2 linked regions of the Macaca fascicularis genome follow. The protein of the gene in region 1 interacts with the protein of each later gene in a pairwise test. Links are inferred from orthologs where the notes say so. Each region holds a gene or a part of one and is shown in the gene's direction. Other genes may lie near its edges.

What was found.
Region 2: the proteins of DVL2 (region 1) and POLI interact in a two-hybrid assay, tested with the Homo sapiens proteins (2 studies listed by BioGRID and IntAct). The two-hybrid records come from large-scale screens. The link is inferred for Macaca fascicularis from reciprocal best matches to the Homo sapiens genes DVL2 and POLI.

The regions. Positions count from the first base shown.
Region 1 is NC_088390.1:7,271,381-7,281,488, reverse strand, and holds the end of DVL2 (segment polarity protein dishevelled homolog DVL-2), read left to right. Parts: intron 1-1,375; coding exon 1,376-1,445; intron 1,446-1,746; coding exon 1,747-1,892; intron 1,893-2,022; coding exon 2,023-2,132; intron 2,133-2,234; coding exon 2,235-2,370; intron 2,371-2,500; coding exon 2,501-2,591; intron 2,592-2,734; coding exon 2,735-2,804; intron 2,805-2,963; coding exon 2,964-3,103; intron 3,104-3,191; coding exon 3,192-3,268; intron 3,269-4,180; coding exon 4,181-4,248; intron 4,249-4,442; coding exon 4,443-4,571; intron 4,572-4,690; coding exon 4,691-4,822; intron 4,823-4,956; coding exon 4,957-5,136; intron 5,137-5,578; coding exon 5,579-5,797; intron 5,798-5,904; coding exon 5,905-6,353; 3' UTR 6,354-6,874; downstream 6,875-10,108. Other genes in the region: ACADVL (very long-chain specific acyl-CoA dehydrogenase, mitochondrial), read right to left, coding at 7,114-7,254, 7,326-7,401, 7,496-7,568, 7,652-7,724, 7,811-7,883, 7,961-8,058, 8,134-8,235, 8,325-8,387 and 3 more.
Region 2 is NC_088392.1:35,310,452-35,320,675, reverse strand, and holds part of POLI (DNA polymerase iota), read left to right. Parts: intron 1-834; coding exon 835-1,013; intron 1,014-1,966; coding exon 1,967-2,058; intron 2,059-5,313; coding exon 5,314-5,444; intron 5,445-9,839; coding exon 9,840-10,045; intron 10,046-10,224. UniProt on the Homo sapiens protein: Error-prone DNA polymerase specifically involved in DNA repair. Plays an important role in translesion synthesis, where the normal high-fidelity DNA polymerases cannot proceed and DNA synthesis stalls. Favors Hoogsteen base-pairing in the active site.

The DNA.
Region 1 (10,108 bases):
TGTGGCCAGGACATGGTGTTGATCAGAGTAAGTGTTCATGGTTTGATGTCGTGGTCAAGAAGAAGGGGCAAGTCCAGTCCACCACAGGGAACCCATTGGAGAGATGACCCCAAGGCTGGGCTTTGGGATCTGTCAGGCTGAGCAGATTGCTTCGTGCCGAATTTTGTGCCAGATGAGGCACAGGGGAATGGGAGCGCCAGCTTGCTCTCTCCTTGGGAGCTTTCAGTCTAATGAGGAGCTTCCATTGTTTGTTTGATCTAATGGTGGGTGGTTTTGTTTTTTGTTGTTTTTTGTTTGTTTGAGGTGGAATCTCACTCTGTCGCCCAGGCTGGAGTGCAGTGGCGCAATCTCGGCTCACTGCAACCTCCGCCTCCTGAGTTCAAGCGATTCTCCTACTTCGGCTTCCGGAGTAGTTGGGATTATAGTGTGCACCACCGTGCCCGGCTCATTTTTGTATTTTTAGGAGAGACAGGGTTTCATCATGTTGGCCAGCTCCTGGCCTCAGGTAATCCACCCACTTTGGCCTCTCAAAGTGCTGGGATTACAGGTGTGAGCCACTATGCCTGGCCTCTAATGGGTGTTTTTACTCAAGAAAGGACAGTCTTCTGGAAATGAATTAGTGAAAACTAAAGGCAAGTATAAAAGTAGAGACTTGGTTGAGGACCGAAGCCTTTTTTTGGAAGGTTTTTTTTTTTTTTTTTTTTTTTTTTGAGACAGATTCTTGCTCAGCCGCCCAGGCTGGAGTGCAGTGGCACAGTCTTGGCTCACTGCAACCACTGTCTCCTGGGTTCAAGCAACTCTCCCGTCTCAGTCTCCTGAGTAGCTGGGATTATAGGCACCCACCATCATGCCTGGCTAATTTTTATATTTTAGTAGAGACGAGGTTTCACCATGTTGGCCAGGCTGGTCTTGAACTCCTGACCTCAGGTGATCCGCCCACCTCAGCCTCCCAAAGTTTTAGCATTACAGGCATGAGCCACCGTGCCCGGCCTTTTTGGAAGGTTTGTAAGGAACAGGGATGGGCTTGAGAGGAGGCTACCAGCCAGTCTCATTAGATAGGTATCTTAGGCAGCTGCATCAGCATAGGGGATTGCCTTTGAAATTGTACTGAGAGGTTTGAATCAGACTCAGTCAAGTCTTTGGAGCAGCACTACGCCCCTGAGGGTGCGTTAGGGAGAGGAGAAATAAGGAAAGGGGATTGAGTTTGGAGATTTCTTAGGTGTCAGAGTGAGTTTTTTCAATGTAAGAGAAGACCTGAACAGGGCGGGAGAAAGTCAGCATCCTGGAGCCCGGTGAAGATTGGGAGGAACTTTGATGGGGGTGGGGGTGGGGGTGGTTGGTCCAGCTCACTGACCTCCACCTTGTCTCTTGGCAGAGTGGTGAAGGAAGAAATTTCAGATGACAACGCCCGCCTCCCCTGCTTCAACGGAAGGGTGGTATCCTGGGTAAGAGGTGCAGACGCCGAGGGCTGGGTCCCCTCTGCATTTCCAAGCTTCCCCAGGCCTCAGTCCGTTTCTGTAGCCCTCTCCCAGGCCAGGTATTAGCAGCCCTGGCTCTTTACCTCTTATCTGTTTGGAGAGCCAGTGAGAGGCCCTCAGCCTTCTCCTTCTGGAGTCTCTAATACTTGCTAGGTTATTTTGCTCTTCTCCAGCTCTCTGAGACCCTTTTTCGTTCTTTCACTTACTGCAACCTGTCACACCCCGACTCCCAGCTGAGCGCCACTGTTTATTGTTTGCACCCTTCTAGCTGGTGTCCTCAGATAATCCCCAACCCGAGATGGCTCCTCCAGCCCACGAGCCTCGGGCAGAACTGGCGCCTCCAGCCCCACCTTTACCCCCTTTGCCACCCGAGAGGACCAGCGGCATTGGGGACTCAAGGCCTCCATCCTTTCAGTGAGTCCTTCTGATTCTTGACTTCGAGGGAGGGAGGTGAGGAGGGAACCCAGGCCTTTTGGTAGGGTACGCCTGGGATCCGGAACCCTGTTCTCCTGATATGGATTGGAAACCATCTCTGCCTGTCCAGCCCTAATGTGTCCAGCAGCCATGAGAATCTGGAGCCTGAGACAGAAACCGAGTCAGTAGTGTCACTGAGGCGGGAGCGGCCTCGCAGGAGAGACAGCAGTGAGCATGGCGGTGAGGGGCAGGCCTGGGGGCTGGGAAGGGCTGGGCCAGACCCCAGCCTTGGTGGGGTGAGCAGGGGGAAGTTTGGTTCCTGAGCTTCCTGTCCATATGCAGCTGGGGGCCACAGGACTGGTGGCCCCTCAAGGCTGGAGCGCCACCTGGCGGGATATGAGAGCTCCTCTACCCTCATGACCAGTGAGCTGGAGAGTACCAGCCTGGGGGACTCTGACGAGGAGGACACCATGAGCAGGTGTGGCTCCGCACAGCTCTCCCCAGCGCACCCAGCCCCCTTTCTTCTCCTCCAGTCAATCCTCTGGTTCTTTCTCTTGGCCCCATGACCACTTTGGCCTACGTTTGCTCTCCTTCCAACCTCCTGGCAGGTTCAGCAGCTCCACGGAGCAGAGCAGTGCCTCCCGCCTCCTTAAGCGCCACCGACGGCGGAGGAAGCAGCGGCCACCCCGCCTGGAGAGGGTGAGGGGTTCCCACGGGAAGGCTGGTGCTGGGAGAAGGTGGGGCATAGGCTTTGGTTTGGGTGGTGCCTGGACACTGGCAGCACCCCAGGGTTGACCCTGGGTCATTGAAGGGCACTCTAGCTCCTTCTTTTCCCACCACAGACATCGTCCTTCAGCAGCGTCACAGATTCCACCATGTCTCTCAATATCATCACAGTCACGCTAAACATGGGTATGGGGAGAGCCTGTGGCTAGGGCGTGGGGAGGGCCTGGTCTCTAGGGTTCCAAGGGTCCTGCGGCTGGGGCTCCTCTCCTCACATGGCCTCTCTCTCTAGGGTTCTGGGGGTCCTGCCGCGGGGGCCTCCTCTCCTCACATGGCCTCTCTCCACAGAGAAGTACAACTTCCTGGGTATCTCCATTGTGGGCCAAAGCAATGAGCGGGGAGACGGAGGCATCTACATTGGCTCCATCATGAAGGGTGGGGCTGTGGCGGCCGACGGACGCATTGAGCCAGGGGACATGCTTTTGCAGGTGTGCTGGGGTGTGGCCACCGAGCTGCCCTGCACGGGAGCCCTCAGCCTCTCCCACCATGCCTCTGACCCACTTCCCCTGCTTCCAGGTGAATGACATGAACTTTGAGAACATGAGCAATGATGACGCCGTGCGGGTGCTGAGGGACATTGTGCACAAGCCTGGGTAAGTTGCCAAGCAGGTTGCAGGTCCTCAGTTCTCTTTTTTTCTCTTTTATGTTTTGTTTTGCAATTTTAATAAGTAGTAAGGCGTGGTGGCTCATGCCTGTAATCCCAGAACTTTGGGAGTCCGAGATGGGTGGATCACCAGAGGTCAGGAGTTCGAGACCAGCCTGACCAACATGGTGAAACCCTGTCTCTACTAAAAATACAAAAATTAAGTGGGTGTGGTGGCGCACGCCTGTAGTCCCAGCTAGTGAGGAGGCTGAGACAGGAGAATCACTTGAACCCCAGGGGGCGGAGGTTGCAGTGAACCGAGATCACACCGCTGCACTCCAACCTGAGCGACAGAGCGAGACTCCCATCTCAAAAAAAAAAAAAAAGTGCTGAGACATAACATTGAAAGTACGTGAAACAAATGTGTGACGTATCAATACTAGAGTGAATATCCATGTCACTGCCACTTAGACCATCAAATAGGAGATTGCTGATATTCTAGAACTTCCTCCCCAGATGTCCCTTCCTGCTCCCAAATGCCTCCCTCCCCCAGGGGTGGTCACTCTCCTGACTTCTTTGGCTATCACCATAACAGAGGAGAGCTTTGCCTCACTCGATAGTTACCATTCTTGCATGTATCCTTGAACAGCACGGTTTCATTTTACCTGTTTTTGGTCTTTCTGTGAATGGAATTGTACAGCGTGTACTCTCTTGTCTCATTTGGCAGTATGTTTTTAAGAGTTTTCCATGTTGATGAGTCATCCGCATTGTGGTGCCTTCCACCCTCACCTTCTCCAGCCCAGCCGCGATGTGCTTGCTTCTCCTTCTCTTTGTGTCTCTTAATCCATCCTTGCTTCAGGCCCCCACTCTCCTGAGGCCTCCTCTTCCCCTGCGCCCTTGACTGGACTTCTCTTCCCCGTAGCCCCATTGTGCTGACTGTGGCCAAGTGCTGGGATCCCTCTCCTCAGGCCTATTTCACTCTCCCGAGAAGTGAGTGACACTCAGGGAGGGGGCCTGAAGTTGGGGGTGGGGGCTGGCCAGGAGGCTGGGGCTGGACCTCTGGTCATGGGGAGTGGGTGGGAGGAGGGTCCAGGCAGAGGTGGAACAGGAGGCTGAGTCAGGGAGGGACTGGGCTGGCTTTTGGGGACTGAGAATGGGTCATTTTGGTGCCATCTCTGTCCCAGATGAGCCCATCCAGCCAATTGACCCTGCTGCCTGGGTGTCCCACTCTGCGGCTCTGACTGGCACCTTCCCAGCCTATCCGGGCTCCTCCTCCATGAGCACCATTACATCTGGATCCTCTTTGCCTGATGGTGAGCCACCAGCCCACCGCATCCCACCCTCCCAGCAGAAGGCTGTCCTGCAGTGGTCTGACCCATTGCCTTTGTGGGAGTGATCCCTGACTCTCATTCCCTGTGGTCTCCTTTGCCAGGCTGTGAGGGCCGGGGTCTCTCCATCCATACGGACATGGCATCGGTGACCAAGGCCATGGCAGCTCCAGAGTCTGGACTGGAAGTCCGGGACCGCATGTGGCTCAAGATCACCATCCCTAATGCCTTTCTGGGTACGGCTGGGCCCTGGGCAGGTGGCTGGAGAAAGGGAGGAGGAGGCAGCCAAAGCCGGGAGTGGCACAGGCAGAGGCGAGAGCAGGAGTTGGAAGGAGAACCTGAGGCCTTTTTCCACTGTGGATGCTCCCAGGCTCGGATGTGGTTGACTGGCTCTACCATCACGTGGAGGGCTTTCCTGAGCGGCGGGAGGCCCGCAAGTATGCCAGTGGGCTGCTCAAAGCGGGCCTGATCCGACACACCGTCAACAAGATCACCTTCTCTGAACAGTGCTATTACGTCTTCGGAGACCTCAGTGGTGGCTGTGAGAGCTGTGAGTCCCTCTGCCCCAACTCTGGGAGTGTGGCTTTGCCTGCCTTGTTCTGCCTCTCCAACCCTAGACCTAGCCCAGAAACTGCAGCCAGGGCCACGATGGATGGTCGAGCAGCGTGTGTCCCGCACTAGGTCCTGCATTGGCTGAGGATCGTGGCTGGCATCCATCCATGCGCTGCTGGACAAGCCACGCGCCAGGTGCAGGACTGTGTCCACCGGGGGAAGGTGCACATCCTCCTGAGTCCCACAAAGACATGGGCTAGTGGTGGCCCTGGCTGTGCCCCTGCCCTCATGGCAGAAGTAGATGGGAGTTTCCTGTCAAGAGACCCCTGTGAACCCCTGTTTTGAGCCCCATCGTGGGTGGGTCTGGGCTCTCCATTCCGTGTCTTGGGGCCTTAGCCTCTTGAAGCAGTGATTTCTTCCTCACTTCCCTTGTTTTCCAGACCTAGTCAACCTGTCTCTCAATGACAACGATGGCTCCAGTGGGGCTTCCGACCAGGACACCCTGGCTCCTCTGCCTGGGGCCACCCCCTGGCCCTTGCTGCCCACTTTCTCCTACCAATACCCGGCCCCACACCCCTACAGCCCGCAGCCCCCACCGTACCATGAACTTTCATCTTATACCTTTGGTGGGGGCAGTGCCAGCAGCCAGCACAGTGAGGGTAAGTCATCCCCACATACCTGTACGGCCAGGGTCTGAGGGTGGATCAGAGGGGAGCCAGGGAGGAGCCTGGGTGAGGACTTAGTTGCCCCTCCCCTCCCTCCACAGGCAGCCGGAGCAGTGGGTCGACCCGGAGTGATGGGGGGGCAGGGCGCACAGGGAGGCCCGAGGAGCGGGCCCCCGAGTCCAAGTCCGGCAGTGGCAGTGAGTCCGAGCCCTCCAGCCGAGGGGGCAGCCTTCGGCGGGGTGGGGAACCAAGTGGGACTGGCGATGGGGGCCCTCCTCCATCCAGAGGCTCAGCTGGGGGTGCCCCTAATCTCCGAGCCCACTCGGGGCTCCATCCTTATGGACCACCCCCTGGCATGGCCCTCCCCTACAACCCCATGATGGTGGTCATGATGCCCCCACCCCCACCTCCAGTCCCTCCAGCAGTGCAGCCTCCGGGGGCCCCTCCAGTCAGAGACCTGGGCTCTGTGCCGCCAGAACTGACAGCCAGCCGCCAAAGCTTCCACATGGCCATGGGCAATCCCAGCGAGTTCTTTGTGGATGTTATGTAGCCCACTGTGGGGCCAGGCTTGGCCTGGCGCTCCTGGTGTGTGACTGGCTGTCCTGGCCATCATGTGCTTGCTCTTACAGTGCCTGGGCTCAGCCTAGCAGCTGCTGCCATACAGGAGATTGTGGCCACTGTGACTCTCACCAGCAGTGCCTGGTTCCTCCCCCTTCCCTCGGGTAGACAAGGGACCTTTGATTATTTTTAGCTTTGTTTTTTTAATAAGTCTTTTTGGGGGTTAAAATAGAGTTTCTTACATTTTTGGGACTTTTTAAATAGGCATTTTCTCTTTTATATGAAAAATCCCGTCCGTTGGGCCCCTTCTAACCCCAGAATGTGACCTCCTCCTCCAGTTACCCATAGCCTTGCCCTGTGCAGGTTTGGGGGTGGTCAGTGGTACCCTGGGGTTAGGCACCCTAGACAGCAGCCTGAGGAAGCTGGGAGATTTGGGCCATGTAGCTGCCTTTGTTACTCTATTTATTTTAGTCACTTGTATAAAACACCAAATAAAGCAATAGAGGCAAACTCCCCACGCCTCTGGCTCCTTTCTTTGGGAGGGAGGCAGGCAGCAGAGGGAAAGAACGGACACACAGGAGCAAAGCATGACTGGTTAGAAATTTTTATTATTTTCGAGGCAGTAAGTGCTCTTGAGAGCAGGCACAGTCCTGGGAATACTAGGCCCCCTCCGGGACAAACCAGGGCCCTAAGGAGAGGGGCTTTGGCTTGAGGAAAGGCACATAACCGGGCCAGGCCCTGGCCAGGAGTATTCAGAAGCCAAGTGGGTTGCTGGTGACCACACCACCCCGCTCCACCAAGGCCTTGGAGATGCTTTTGAAGTTGCGGTAGAGCTCATGCTGCCGGGGGTCAGACTGCAGGGCGGCCATGCCCTCTCGGATCCGGGCTGCAGCCTGGGGAGAGGGAAGGAGGGTTGGGCCTGCACCTCTAGCCCTCACCTGAGCTTGGCAGCCCCGAGTCTCACCTCGATACACCAGGTGTCACAGAGCATTTTCTCATGCTGGGCCGTGTGGTGGCCCTCACTCAGGGATCTTGAAGCCCTGGCAGGAAGCAGGAGATGAAAATAAATCTGGGCCGGCTGGGATCCAGGCCCAGGCCCCCTGCGGCTCAGGCATTCCCCGCCTGCCTCCTCACCTCGAGAGAACCACCACCATGGCATAGAGGTCGATGGCCCCGTCTGCCAGCCGCTGCAGCAGAAACTGCTCATCTGCCGGGTAGGTGGGGTGGGGGTGGGGGCATTAGTCTCAAGGAGAGGAAAGGGAGGGGCGGAAGGGTGTAGAGCTCACTCACTGACAATCCCCTTCTTGTGTTTTATCAACTTGGCCTCCACCACAGTGGCAAACTGCTCCAGAGCCTGTACTGCCTGAAGAGATGGGGACAGTGCAGGGCTCAGAGGGGCTGTCGGCTACAGTCCCTGACGCAGGCTCTCCTGGACCCCTGGCCACTTACCAGCTCACCGCTGCGACTCAACTCCGGGTGGACAATTCCACTGAGACTCAGGCCGCTGCCCAGCCCTGCCCGCCTGAGAGGAAGAGGGAGAATGACTGGTTAGTTGTCATACACTGCCCTGCCCTCCCCTGGCCCTGACCCTAAGCCTACCGCCTTAGCTGTTTGCCTGCCTCTCCCAGCAGGAGGCCAGCATTCCCAAAGGGATTCTTTAGAGCACTGCCAAGCCCAGAGAGCTCCTTTCCTTTGTCCTATGGGGAAGAGGGTCCAGCAGTCAGGACTCACTGTCCTCCCCACCTCTACCCCCACCCAATTCTCCCTCTTACCATACAGCCCTGCAGAGCCACAAACAGCCGAAGGATGTCATTTGTCCCCTCAAAGATTCGGAAGATGCGAAGATCTCGGAGCACACGCTCTACTCCAGGTTCCTAGCACAGGGCCACACAAATTATATGCCCCTGCTGAGATGTGCCTACCCACCCCTGGCCCAAACGAGGCTCAGAAGACCGTCCTGTACCTTCATGAAGCCCATACCCCCCATGATTTGGATGCATTCATCTGTCACCTTCCAGGCTGCCTCCTAGGGACAAAGAACAGATGAGACTGGTTGTGGGAGCTGAGCTCCCAAACTGGACTCCCTCCCAGCATGCCTGGGACCTCACCGAGCCGAAGATTTTGCTGATGGCGGCCTCTATCTGGAAGTCCGTTGATCCCTGGTCCATGTTAGCACTCACCATGTAAGCCATGGACTGAGGTTGCATGGTTGGGACATGGGAAGGAAAATTGCAAAGGGCTTTGTCAGACTTGGCTTCATCACCCAGATCTCCAAGATTAGGGATGACCTAGCTTGTTAGGTCAGGCAAATAGTTGTTCTGGGTCAGTTCATCAGGCGCTTCCAGGTATTTGTTTTTTTTTTTTTTTTCCCATAGTCTCGCTCTGTTGCCCAGGCTGGGGTGGTGCAGTGGCACAATCTCAGCTCTGCAAGCTCCACCTCTCGGGTTCGCGCCATTCTCCTGCCTCAGCCTCCCGAGTAGCTGGGACTACAGGCGCCTGCCACTACGCCCGGCTAATTTTTTTGTATTTTTAGTAGAGACGGAGTTTCACTGTGTTAGCCAGGATGGTCTCGATCTCCTGACCTCGTGATCCGCCCGCCTCAGCCTCCCACAGTGCTGGGATTACAGGCGTGAGCCATCGCGCCCGGGCAGTATTTGTTTTCTTAAAAGGGGTGGACGTAAGGGATGGGGTAGAATTAACTTCTGGTACTGCTGGCAGGCACCTGAGCAGAACATCATTGCTCTTTTCCTTCGGCAGAAGCTGAGCTGACTATGCCTCCCCGCATCCCCTAGGGCATTGGTGTAAAGCTGGAGACCCACTGCCCCAGGTGCTGCTGGGGGTTGTAGTCTGACCCAACTGGGAAGAAAGCCCCAGGGCTTCAGGGAGAGGAGCTTGGGAGGCCCTCACCTCAGTTACATACTGCAGCATAACCATCCGGGCCAGCTTCTCCTGGATCAGCCCAAAGTTGTGAATTTTCTCCCCAAACTGGATACGATTAGTGGCATAATCTACCTGGAAGAGGGTCCATGTATTCCACTTTGGTTCAGTGTGGTTCTGCAGTCTCCCTAGACAGGGGCTGGGCTTGCGCCACAGGGATGGGCTTTGCATACAACCAGAGTTCAGTCTACGCTGGATGGAGACCTAAGCTCACAAGTCTGGGGCTGCTGGTAGGGGAGGGGTTTCTGGTGTAGGGAGTGCCTGCAAGTGATCAGGGACACATGGCAAGGGGGACAGTGAGACTACTGTTTGGGTTACCTGGGGACTTGGGCAGGGTACTCACCGCCTTAGTAATGATGCCTCTCATGGTACCTGCCAGGGCCGCAGCCATGCCAAACCTTCCATTGTTGAGGATGTGCATGGCGACCTTGAAGCCACTCCCAACCTCACCCAGCACATTCTCCGATGGCACCCGTACTCCATCAAAAAACACCTCTGCTGTGTTTGAAGCCTTGATGCCCATCTTCTTCTCAGGGGGCCCACTGTGTCAGGGCAATGTGGGAAAGCAGAGGTGTGTTCAACAGCTTGTCAGTGGGGAAAAACTGCTTCTTCGCTCTTTATGCACTAGGGAGGAATTACAACTCCTAGACTATTAGAGGCTACAGCCAACACTTACCCCCGGCCCTGAAGGCTAAGGAGGCCTGGCTATGTCTTATTTTGTGTTGGACTTGGTTGCTGGAGCCAAAACTTTAGCTCAGTTGCATACATATTAGTCCCAAAGGCCACATTCAGTTCACCTGCTTTGGCTTT
Region 2 (10,224 bases), on another chromosome or scaffold:
AGAACTTTGTGACAGTTTTGCTAGCAAGATTTTTTGTTTTGTTTGCTTTCTGGCTCATAGCTGTATTCTGGATGGTAAATGTTAGATATGACTTATGGATAAATATATGGTGGTGCATATAGGAACCAGTTAGTTTACCTAATATGTACACTTAATTCATTTTAATTGCTCTAGTGGCAGCCTTTTTGTACATTAATAATAATCATGATTTCTGAATATTTCTGGAATTTTACATAACAGTAAAATTTTTATTTTAGTGAGACAGCATTTATTGACTGTCTCTGTATTCATTTTGTTTTGCTGCATTTTGTGAGGACTTCAAAGAGATGCATATAATTCAGGAGCCCTGAGTGGAAGAACAGCAACCTAGTTTGCAATGGAGTTTGATCTTTGCAAAATACAGTAGTCCCCCGTTATCTGCAGTTTCACTTTTCACAATTTCTGTTACCTGCAGTCAACTGTGGTTTGAAAATACTAAGATATTTTGAGAGAGGGAGGCAGAGACCACATTCACATAACTTGTATATAGTATATTGTTGTAGTTCTATTTTATTATTATTGTTAACCTCTTATTGTGCCTAATTTATAAATTAAACTTTATCATAGGTATATATGTAATGGAAAAAACAGTACTGTATGTATATAGGGTTTGATACTGTCCATGGTTTCAGGTATCCACTGAAGGTCTTAGAATGTATCCCCTGTGGATAAGGGGGGACTACTGTGTAAATTATAGAATTTAAAGATATGATTGATATATTTATAATATTTTAATTAGCTTTGTTTTAAGGAGAAAAGCTATTTTTAACTTTGTATGCACTTCTTTTTATTTAGGTATTGGCTATAAAACTGCCAAATGTCTTGAAGCACTGGGTATCAATAGTGTGCATGATCTCCAAACCTTTTCATCCAAAATTTTAGAAAAAGAATTAGGAATTTCACTTGCTCAGCGTATCCAGAAGCTCAGTTTTGGAGAGGATAACTCCCATGTGATACCCTCAGGACCACCGCAGGTACACGATGATATTTATTTTAATTAAGTACTGGTTATCACATTATTTGAGATAAAGATTTCTAGTTACAGTACCATGTTCTTACTATTCTAGTTTGCTTAGTATGTGATCTCTTTCCTATTAGAAGGCTGATTTATTATTAATAGGTTGGATTAATAAGTATTCTTAAATTGAATCTTAAGCATTGATATTTTGATATCTTAAGTTAGCTACTATGATTGAAGACAGTGCAACTTAATAGCCTATAATGCATATATGAGGCAAAATATTTTAATCTTTTAAAAATCTTGTTTTCAGAGTAGTCCAGTGATTTAGCAAATGGGAAAGGTATAATCACCCAATTAACATTGACTGATTTTTTTTGCTATGGGACAAGCACTTTCCTGAGTGCTTGAAATACATTAGTCCATTTAATCTTCACAACGAAGCATCAAGGTAGGTAGTACGGTTGTTTGTCCATTCTTTCTTACCTTTCTTCTTTCCTTCCTTCCTTCCATTCTCTCTCTCTCAAGATGAGGATACTGTACTTTAGAAAGGTTAAATAACTTGAGGACCATATACTGGTCCAAGGATATAGATCAAGGATATAAGTCTAAGTTTGTCCAAGGATAAACTTAGATTCAAGTCCTAGGTGATTAAGAAGTCTTGCCATAATCATACAATAAAGCTTGGAGTTGGTACTAGAGCTTTAGAGTTTTATTAACTTTGAATTATTTTTTATTAACTGTTTTATATTAACTGTTAATTTAGTAATATTTGATATTAACTTTCTAGTGAGTACAGTAGCTTGCAGATAAAAAACAGTTAATATAAAAGTGAACTAAATGGCTGAAACTAAGGACAAGAGGTAAGTTAGTAAAGAATGTATTGAATATTTATTTGACTATACACTGATAATAATTAGATATAATTCTTAGAGTTTGCACTAATCCTTATTTATGCTTCTTTGATAGTCCTTTAGTGAAGAAGATTCATTTAAAAAATGTTCATCCGAAGTTGAAGCTAAAAATAAGATTGAAGAACTACTTGCTAGTCTTTTAAACAGGTGATTTTCAATCCATTTTGCCAAGTCATCCTATATATTCATTCTGTATACGGTATATAGAAAGAATATTTGATGTTCCATCTTGGAACTGACAAATTATCTGGAGAGTAAACAATGTAAAAATAATTTATCATGTGATTTCTCTGCATTATAAACTATTGTAAAGATGGTAATAGGGGCTCTTACCTAAATTTAATTCATTGGTCTTAATTCTAGTAACAGTGTGGTTGTCCTATGGATCTAAAGCTGCAGATGGTTACCTAAAGGGGTTTTATGGATATTTCTAACATTCTTAGACTTACTCTAGTCTTCAGGTGAGAAGAAGAAGTTTTAATTTTTCCCTGTGGCAATTGCAAAGCCTTTGCCCTCAACCTAATAGTTACTTGAATTTCATTAAGTTAGTACCATGCTAAATACAAATACATGCGAAATACAAAACGTGTGAAATTAACCATTTATCTCTGCTAATAGTTACTTGCATTTCATTAAGAAGAAAAAAATGCAAAGAGGAATAATACTGTCATAATTCTAAAACTCCTGATACAGGAACAGCTATATAAATTTGTGATTGTTGGGGATAGGAAATTATTAAAGTAACAGTGAAGGAAGAAGCAGAAGAACCCTTGTATCTCTTTTGCCTCAGACTGTAAAATAAAATAGAGTCGAAGGAGAAAGAATGGCTGGCTGGGGCTATGTGTGAGCAGGGTGAGTGACTGCAGGTGTGTGCAGGGTTTCTGATCTGTATGTGAAGAGTATCACCTGGGGTTATAAATATATGAGTAGCACAAGATAAACTGAAAAGGAAATTTAATTTTGTGGTGCTCCTTGTCATTATACATGTATTTCTCACTATTCATATTCCACAAACAAGTATTATCTGTTTTCTTCCCATTCTTTGTTTCTGCTTCTCTTGTTAGAAATTTCTCAAATTGTGGTTTCAGGGCTCTAACAGTTTAGAGTAGGTGTGCTTCTCCAATGATTCTAGGAGGACTAACTGTATTTAGAGAAAATGGTTTTTGGATGGTTCTAAGTCTGAGAAAACTGATGAAGTGAAATTTCCTCCAACTTTGCTGTTGTATGCAACGTGGCACTCAAATGTCTTGAGCAGAGCCATGTAGCTCATTGTTGGCTGCATGCAGCTGGGGCTGGCTGTATGACTGGGCTTCAGTGATATGACTCAGGCTGGGCCTGCGCGTATGCTAGTGAAACTGGGTCATTTGCTTCAGCTAAATAGAAGACTACTCTGAAATGCCTAACATTTGGAGACAGTTCTTCACGTAGAAAAACCGCAAGAAGTGTAAGTTTTACAGGTTCTCTTATTTGAAGAGTCAACCCAGAAGTGAGACCAGGTGCTCTAAACCTGTGAAATACAAAACCTGTGAAATTAACCATTTATCTGTATCTCTGCTTGCCAGCTCCTTTTCTCCCACACCACGGGCCCTTATTTCAGTGACTGAATTATAACACCATCTAAGTGACTTGCAAAAAAAAAATTACAGGAGTGTCTGTGTGTATTTGTGTATAATTACTTTTGTTTTCTCTAGAGTATGTTATGATTAATACTATAGGTATGTAAGAAATGTAAAAACCATATTATTTTTAATCCATCCTCTAGGCACTAGTTTAATATTGCTTATGATTCAGCCTTTTTCTAATGTGTCTTAATTAGCATATCATACTCTTTGAATTGCATAATTAATAGAACACGTTTAACTGGAAGATATTTAAACTAGTAGCCATTTAAGGTATTTTATTATCCTAGTTAAGCAGCCATCGAGAAGTTTTGTCACAAAGCAATAAGAGATAGAAAAAATTTATTTAATACAGAACTATTTTATTTTTTATTTTTTTGCGATAGGGTCTTGCTCTGTCACCCAGGCTGGAATGCAATAGTGCAATCATGGCTCACTGCAGCCTCAGCCTCCTGGGCTCAAGCAGTCCTCCCACCTCAGCCTCCAGAATAGCTGGGAAAGCACCTGCCATAAAGCCTAGCTAATTTTTAAATTTTTGTAGATGAGGTCTCGCTATGTTGCCCAGGCTGGTCTTGAACTCCTGGGCTCAAGTGATCCTCCTACCTGAACTTCCCAAAGTGTTGAGATTACAGGTATAAGCCACCGTGCCTGGCCCAAAACTGTTTTTTTCAGATCAGAGTCTTCAAGTTGAGTGTGTTTAACAATATGCAATATTTGCATTTTATGTCTGAGATTTGGTTTTATATGCGTTGCCATGTGTATAAAAGGGGAAATGTTATCCTTTAATGACTTTTTTTCCATTAATTAGGTTTTGTACTTCTTAAGTGAATTTGTCATATAATTAAAACCTTTGTTTCAATACCAAAACCAAGACAATTGGATGAAACTCTTTTTAAAAATGCATGTGCACATATTGTATATTAATTATATACTAAATATAGCATATGATCTTTGAAGATATTGCTCTAATAAGCTATCATATAATGGTAATAGTGATTACTCTTTAACAAGAGTAATCTCATTTTGTAAAAAAAAAAATCTTTTTTTTGGTAATCTCATAAGAAAAAAGTTTGAAAAAAGTTATTTTGTTATTTTTCACTTACTTGCTTTTGTTAGTGAATGATTCAGTTTCTTAAATTTCCTGCTGATTTTAATTTGCTGCCTTTTGGCTAGGTGTGGTGACTTACGTCTGTAATCCCAGCATTTTGGGAGGCTGAGGTGGGGGATCACCTGAGGTCAGGAGTTCGAGAGCAGCCTGGCCAACATGGCAAAACCACCTCTCTACTAAAAATACAAAAATTAGCCAGGTGTGGTCACACGTGCCTGTAGTCCAAGCTACTCAGGAGGTTGAGGCAGGAAAACTGCTTGAACCTGGGAATTGGAGGTTGCAGTGAGCTGAGATTGTGCCACTACACTCCAGCCTGGGCAACAGAGCGAGATTCCATCTTGAAAAAAAAAATTGGTTGCTTTTAGTTTTGTTTTGAATTTGTATTATAAAACAACTTGTTTTGATTATATCTTATATCTCTTCTATTTCTGACAGCACTCAATTCTGAGTGAGGCCTGAGAGCTTGACATCTAAACATTCAGAGTTTTAGTGCATAGACTTTGTGATGATTATTTGGATACTCAGGGACCTTTATTGCTTACTATTTTGTTATCTACTATATGTATAATTGTTATATTTAACAAAATCTGGCACCTTTAGATAAATGAGGTGTTATATAATTTAAAAAGGTAATACTTTTCTAATTCCTTATTTCCACTTTCTCTTTATTTTTAGAGTATGCCAAGATGGAAGGAAGCCTCATACAGTAAGATTAATAATCCGTCGATATCCCTCTGAGAAGCACTGTGGTCGTGAGAGTCGTCAGTGCCCTATTCCATCACATATAATTCAGAAGTTAGGGACAGGTATGGACTAGTTTTCCAACAGTTTCATTAGCAGGTTGAACTCTTAAACAAGCCAACTTTGAACTAGAAATATGCTCCAAAAATGGAGGGTCTTCACAGGGAATTAGCAAGCAATTAAATGCTTTTATTCTATCAGGAATTTTCACCAGAAAACTTTGTTGTTTGTTTGTTTGTTTATTTATTTATTTTTTGAGACAGGGTCTTGCTCTGCACGAAGGCTGAAGTGCAGTGGTGCTGTGATAGCTCACTGCAGCCTTCGTCTCCCCGGCTCAAACAATTCTTCTACCCCAGCCTCCCGGGTAGCTGGGACCGTAGGTGCATGCTACCAGACCTGGCTAACTTTTTTTGACATTTAGGATAGACAAGGTCTCAAACTCCTGAGCTCAAGCAATCTTTCTGCCTCAGCCTCCCACAGTGCTCGGATTATGGGCATGAACCACTGGACCTGGCCTGGTTTTTAAATAGATAAGAGTCATTTAAGAATGTTTTCCAAGTTCAAAGAGAACAAAACTGTGATAACTGATAGCATGAGTCTTTATGGGCATTTAGATTGTTTCCATTTTGAAGAACATTTAAGTGCAAGTCATTGGATGGGCATATGCATATGTTTTCCTTTATCTTGGGTAGATTTTAAGGAGTGGAATTGCTGGATCATATGGGAACATGAACTGTTTAAGAAACTGCCAACTTTTTCCAAAGTTCATGTAATAATTTACATTTTCATCAACAATATATGAAGGTTCCAGTTTTTCATATTTTTGCCAATATTTGTATTGTCAGTCTCTTCGATTATAGTTGTTCTAGCGGTATATAGTAGTGTGGTTTTTCTTTTATGGATAGTGTTTTTGGTGTTATATGTAAAAATTCTTTGCCTAACTCAGAGGTCACATATTCTGTTTTCTTTTAGAAGTTTTATAGTTTTTAAGCTTTATGTTTATGTCCATTTTGAGTTAATTTTTTATGTGTGGTATATGGTAAGGGACTTAATTCTTTGCTTTGCATGTGGGTATCCAGTTGTTCCTGCATCATTTGTTGAAGATTTTTCTTCACCCACTGAATTACCATGGCATCTTTGTCAAAAATTAATTGACCATAAATGTAAGAGTTTATTTCCTGACTTTCTTGTTTCATTGGTCTATATGTTTATCCTTACACCGATTCCACCCTATGATGGTCTCTGCTGCTCTGTTTATTTTTCTGCAATCTTTTTTTTCTGTTCTTTCTTACAAAGTAGATAATCTGTATTGAGCTGCCTTTAAGGTCTCTGATTCATCTGTATCTCATAACTGCCATTGCCCCTGTAGTGATTTGTTGGTTTTGGTTACTGTGCTTTTTAACTCTAGAATTTCTGTTTGTCTTTTGTTTTTATGTTTGGTTTTGTTTCTTTATCGAGATTCTCCTTTTTTTGTACTCATTATATTTTGCTTTAATTCTTTAAACATGGTTGTCTTTAATTCTTTGGATATATCTATAATAATGAATTTGAAGTCTTTGCTAAGTCCACCTCAAAGTCAATTTATGTTAACTGCTTTTTCCCCCAAATATGTATCACACTTTCCTGTTTCTTTGCATGTTTTGAACTATTTTATTGAAAACTAGACCTCATAGATAATGTATTGTAGCAACTGTGGATTTAAAATTTTTTCTTGTAGGGTTTTTTTTTTCTTTCCTGTACTTTTTTTTAGGTAACTTGTCTGAACGTAATCTGCAGAATCTACCTCCCCTGGGTTCTGTAGCCACTGATTTCTCTGCTCAGTGTTCTTTTTTTTTTTTTTTTTTTTTAATTCAAATTTTTATTTTAATATGGACTTCTGGGAAGTTGCCCATGTCTGTATAGTTTCATGGTTAGCCAATGTTTGGCAAAGGTTCTGCTCAAACACTACAGTCTGGAAGCTGTCTGCCTCTGCCAGTGGATAAGTGTATGGGTTGGAAAGGACTTAAAATATTTAGGCCATTTTCCCATACTGCCCAAAGTAATTTATAGATTTAGTGCTATCCCCATCAAGCTACCACTGACTTTCTTCACAGAATTGGAAAAAAATACTTTAAATTTCATATGGAACCAAAAAAGCCCACATAGCCAACACAATCCTAAGCAAAAAGAACAAAGCTGGAGGCATCACACTACCTTACTTCAAATTATACTGCAAGGCTACAGTAACCAAAACAGCATGGTGCTGGTACCAAAACAGATGTATAGACCAATGGAACAGAACAGAGGCCTCAGAAATAACCACACATCTACAACTATCTGATGATCTTTGACAAACCTGACAAAAACAAGAAATGGAGAAAGGATTCCCTATATAATAAATGGTGCTGGGAAAACTGGCTAGCCTTATGTAGAAAGCTAAAACTGGATCCCTTCCTTACACCTTACACAAAATTTAACTCAAGATGGATTAAAGACTTAAATGTTAGACCTGAAATCATAAAAACCCTAGAAGAAAACCTAGACAATACCATTCAGGACATAAGCATGGGCAAAGACCTCATTGACTAAAACACTGAAAGCAATGGCAGCAAAAGCCAAAATTGACAAATGGAATCTAATTAAACTAAAGAGCTTCTGCACAGCAAAAGAAACTATCAACAGAGTGAACAGGCAAACTACAGAATGGGAGAAAATTTTTGCAATCTATCCATCTGACAAAGGGCTAATATCCAGAATCTACAAAAAAGTTAAACAGATTTACAAAAAAAAAGCAAACAACCCCATCAACAAGTGGGCCAAGGATACGAACAGACACTTCCCAAAAGAAGACATTTATGCAGCCAACAGACACATGAAAAAATGCTCATCATCACTGGTCATTAGAGAAATGCAAATCAAAACCACAATGAGATACCACCTCATGCCAGTTAGAATGCCGATTATTAAAAAGTCAGGAAATAACAGATGCTGGAGAAATAGGAATGCTTTTACACTGTCGGTGGGAGTGTAAATTAGTTCAACCATTGTGGAGGACAGTGTAGCGATTCCTCAAGGATCTAGAACTAGAAATTCCATTTGACCCAGCCATCCCATTACTGGGTATATACCCAAAGGATTATAAATCATGCTGCTATAAAGACACATGCACGTGTATGTTTATTGCGGCACTATTCACAATAGCAAAGGCTTGGAACCAACCCAAATATCCATCAGTAATAGACTGGATAAAGAAAATGTGGCACATACACACTATGGAATACTATGCAGCCGTAAGAAAGGATGAGTTCATGTTCTTTGCAGGGACATGAATGAAGCTGGAAACCATCATTCTCAGAAAACTATCACAAGGATAGAAAACCAAACACCACATGTTCTCACTCATAAGTGGGAGTTGAACAATGAGGACACATGGACACAGGGAGGGGAACATCACACACCGGGGCCTATTGGGGGGTGGGGAGCTGAGGGAGGGATAGCATTAGGAGAAATACCTAATGTAAATGGTGAGTTGATAGGTGCAGCAAACCAACAGGGCACATGTATACCTATGTAACAAACCTACACATTGTGCACATGTACCCCAGAACTTAAAGTATAAAAGAAAAAAAATTAGGCCATTTTCAAGTTTTTCTTGAATTTTAATTTCTTCTAGGCCCCCTTTATCTCCCCGTGACATGCATGTAGCCGTTTCAATGAGTGTATGGAGAGCTTAGGCCCTCTGTGGCCTTCCGTTTATTTTCATGTAGCCTCCTAGTCAGCTAAGGGTGTGAGGGGAGCCTATGTAGTCCCTCTTTGGTTCTCTCATTTCCAAATCTCCTGGTGACATTTCTGGCTGGTCCACTGATCTGTCATTCATCCCAACCACAACTAAAGCCTCAGACTAGCAGAGCTGTGGGATCTTCCCATTCATTTCCTATCAAGTTTGCTCATTTTACTGGCAATGTTGCTAAGTGTGGGCTTTTGCCCTCTGCCTCAAATCAGGTCTGTCTCCTCTAGAAGTGAAACTGCTGACTTTTGCAGCCTTCACCCTGTACCAACTGAGGTATGTAAAGGGACATTCGAACGGTCCCAGACAATGAAGTCCCAGACAAAGTCTCCTACTTTGTTAGCTAACATATAGCAGCTGTTCATAAATCAGTACTTCTTACTTTGTTTGCCTTTGGTTCATTTTCAGATTTCCACCAAAATGATTGTTTTTGACAATGTTCAGTTTTATAGTAGCTTTTTGAGAGTGGATTTTCTGACCATATCACTGTACTATAACCAGAAATACCATATTTCAAATCTTTTGAAAAATTTTAACCATTTGGTATTAATGTTGAAATGTCTTAATTTGTTATATAATGTCAAGATGCCCAGTGATACTTATTTAGGATTTTAATTTCTTAATCTCAGCAATATAAAATATATTATGCTCTTAATATTAATTATGTTTATTATCTTCTTAACATTTTATTTAGGAAATTATGATGTGATGACCCCAATGGTTGATATACTAATGAAACTTTTTCGAAATATGGTGAATGTGAAGATGCCATTTCACCTTACCCTTCTAAGTGTGTGCTTCTGCAACCTTAAAGCAGTAAATACTGCTAAGAGAGGGCTTATTGATTATTATTTAACGCCATCATTATCAACAACTTCATGCTCTGGCAAGCACAGTTTTGTAAGTATACTCTTTTTTGTTCAGTTTTCTAAGTATACCCTTATGGGATTTGTGTGGTTAAATTACAAATCTAAGTGCTTGTCTTTTTGATAGAGTTTAGAGATTCTTTTGGGTGATATTGTTTAGGTAATTAACTTGTTTACAATACCTATCTTACGGTTGCTGGCCTTAAATATACT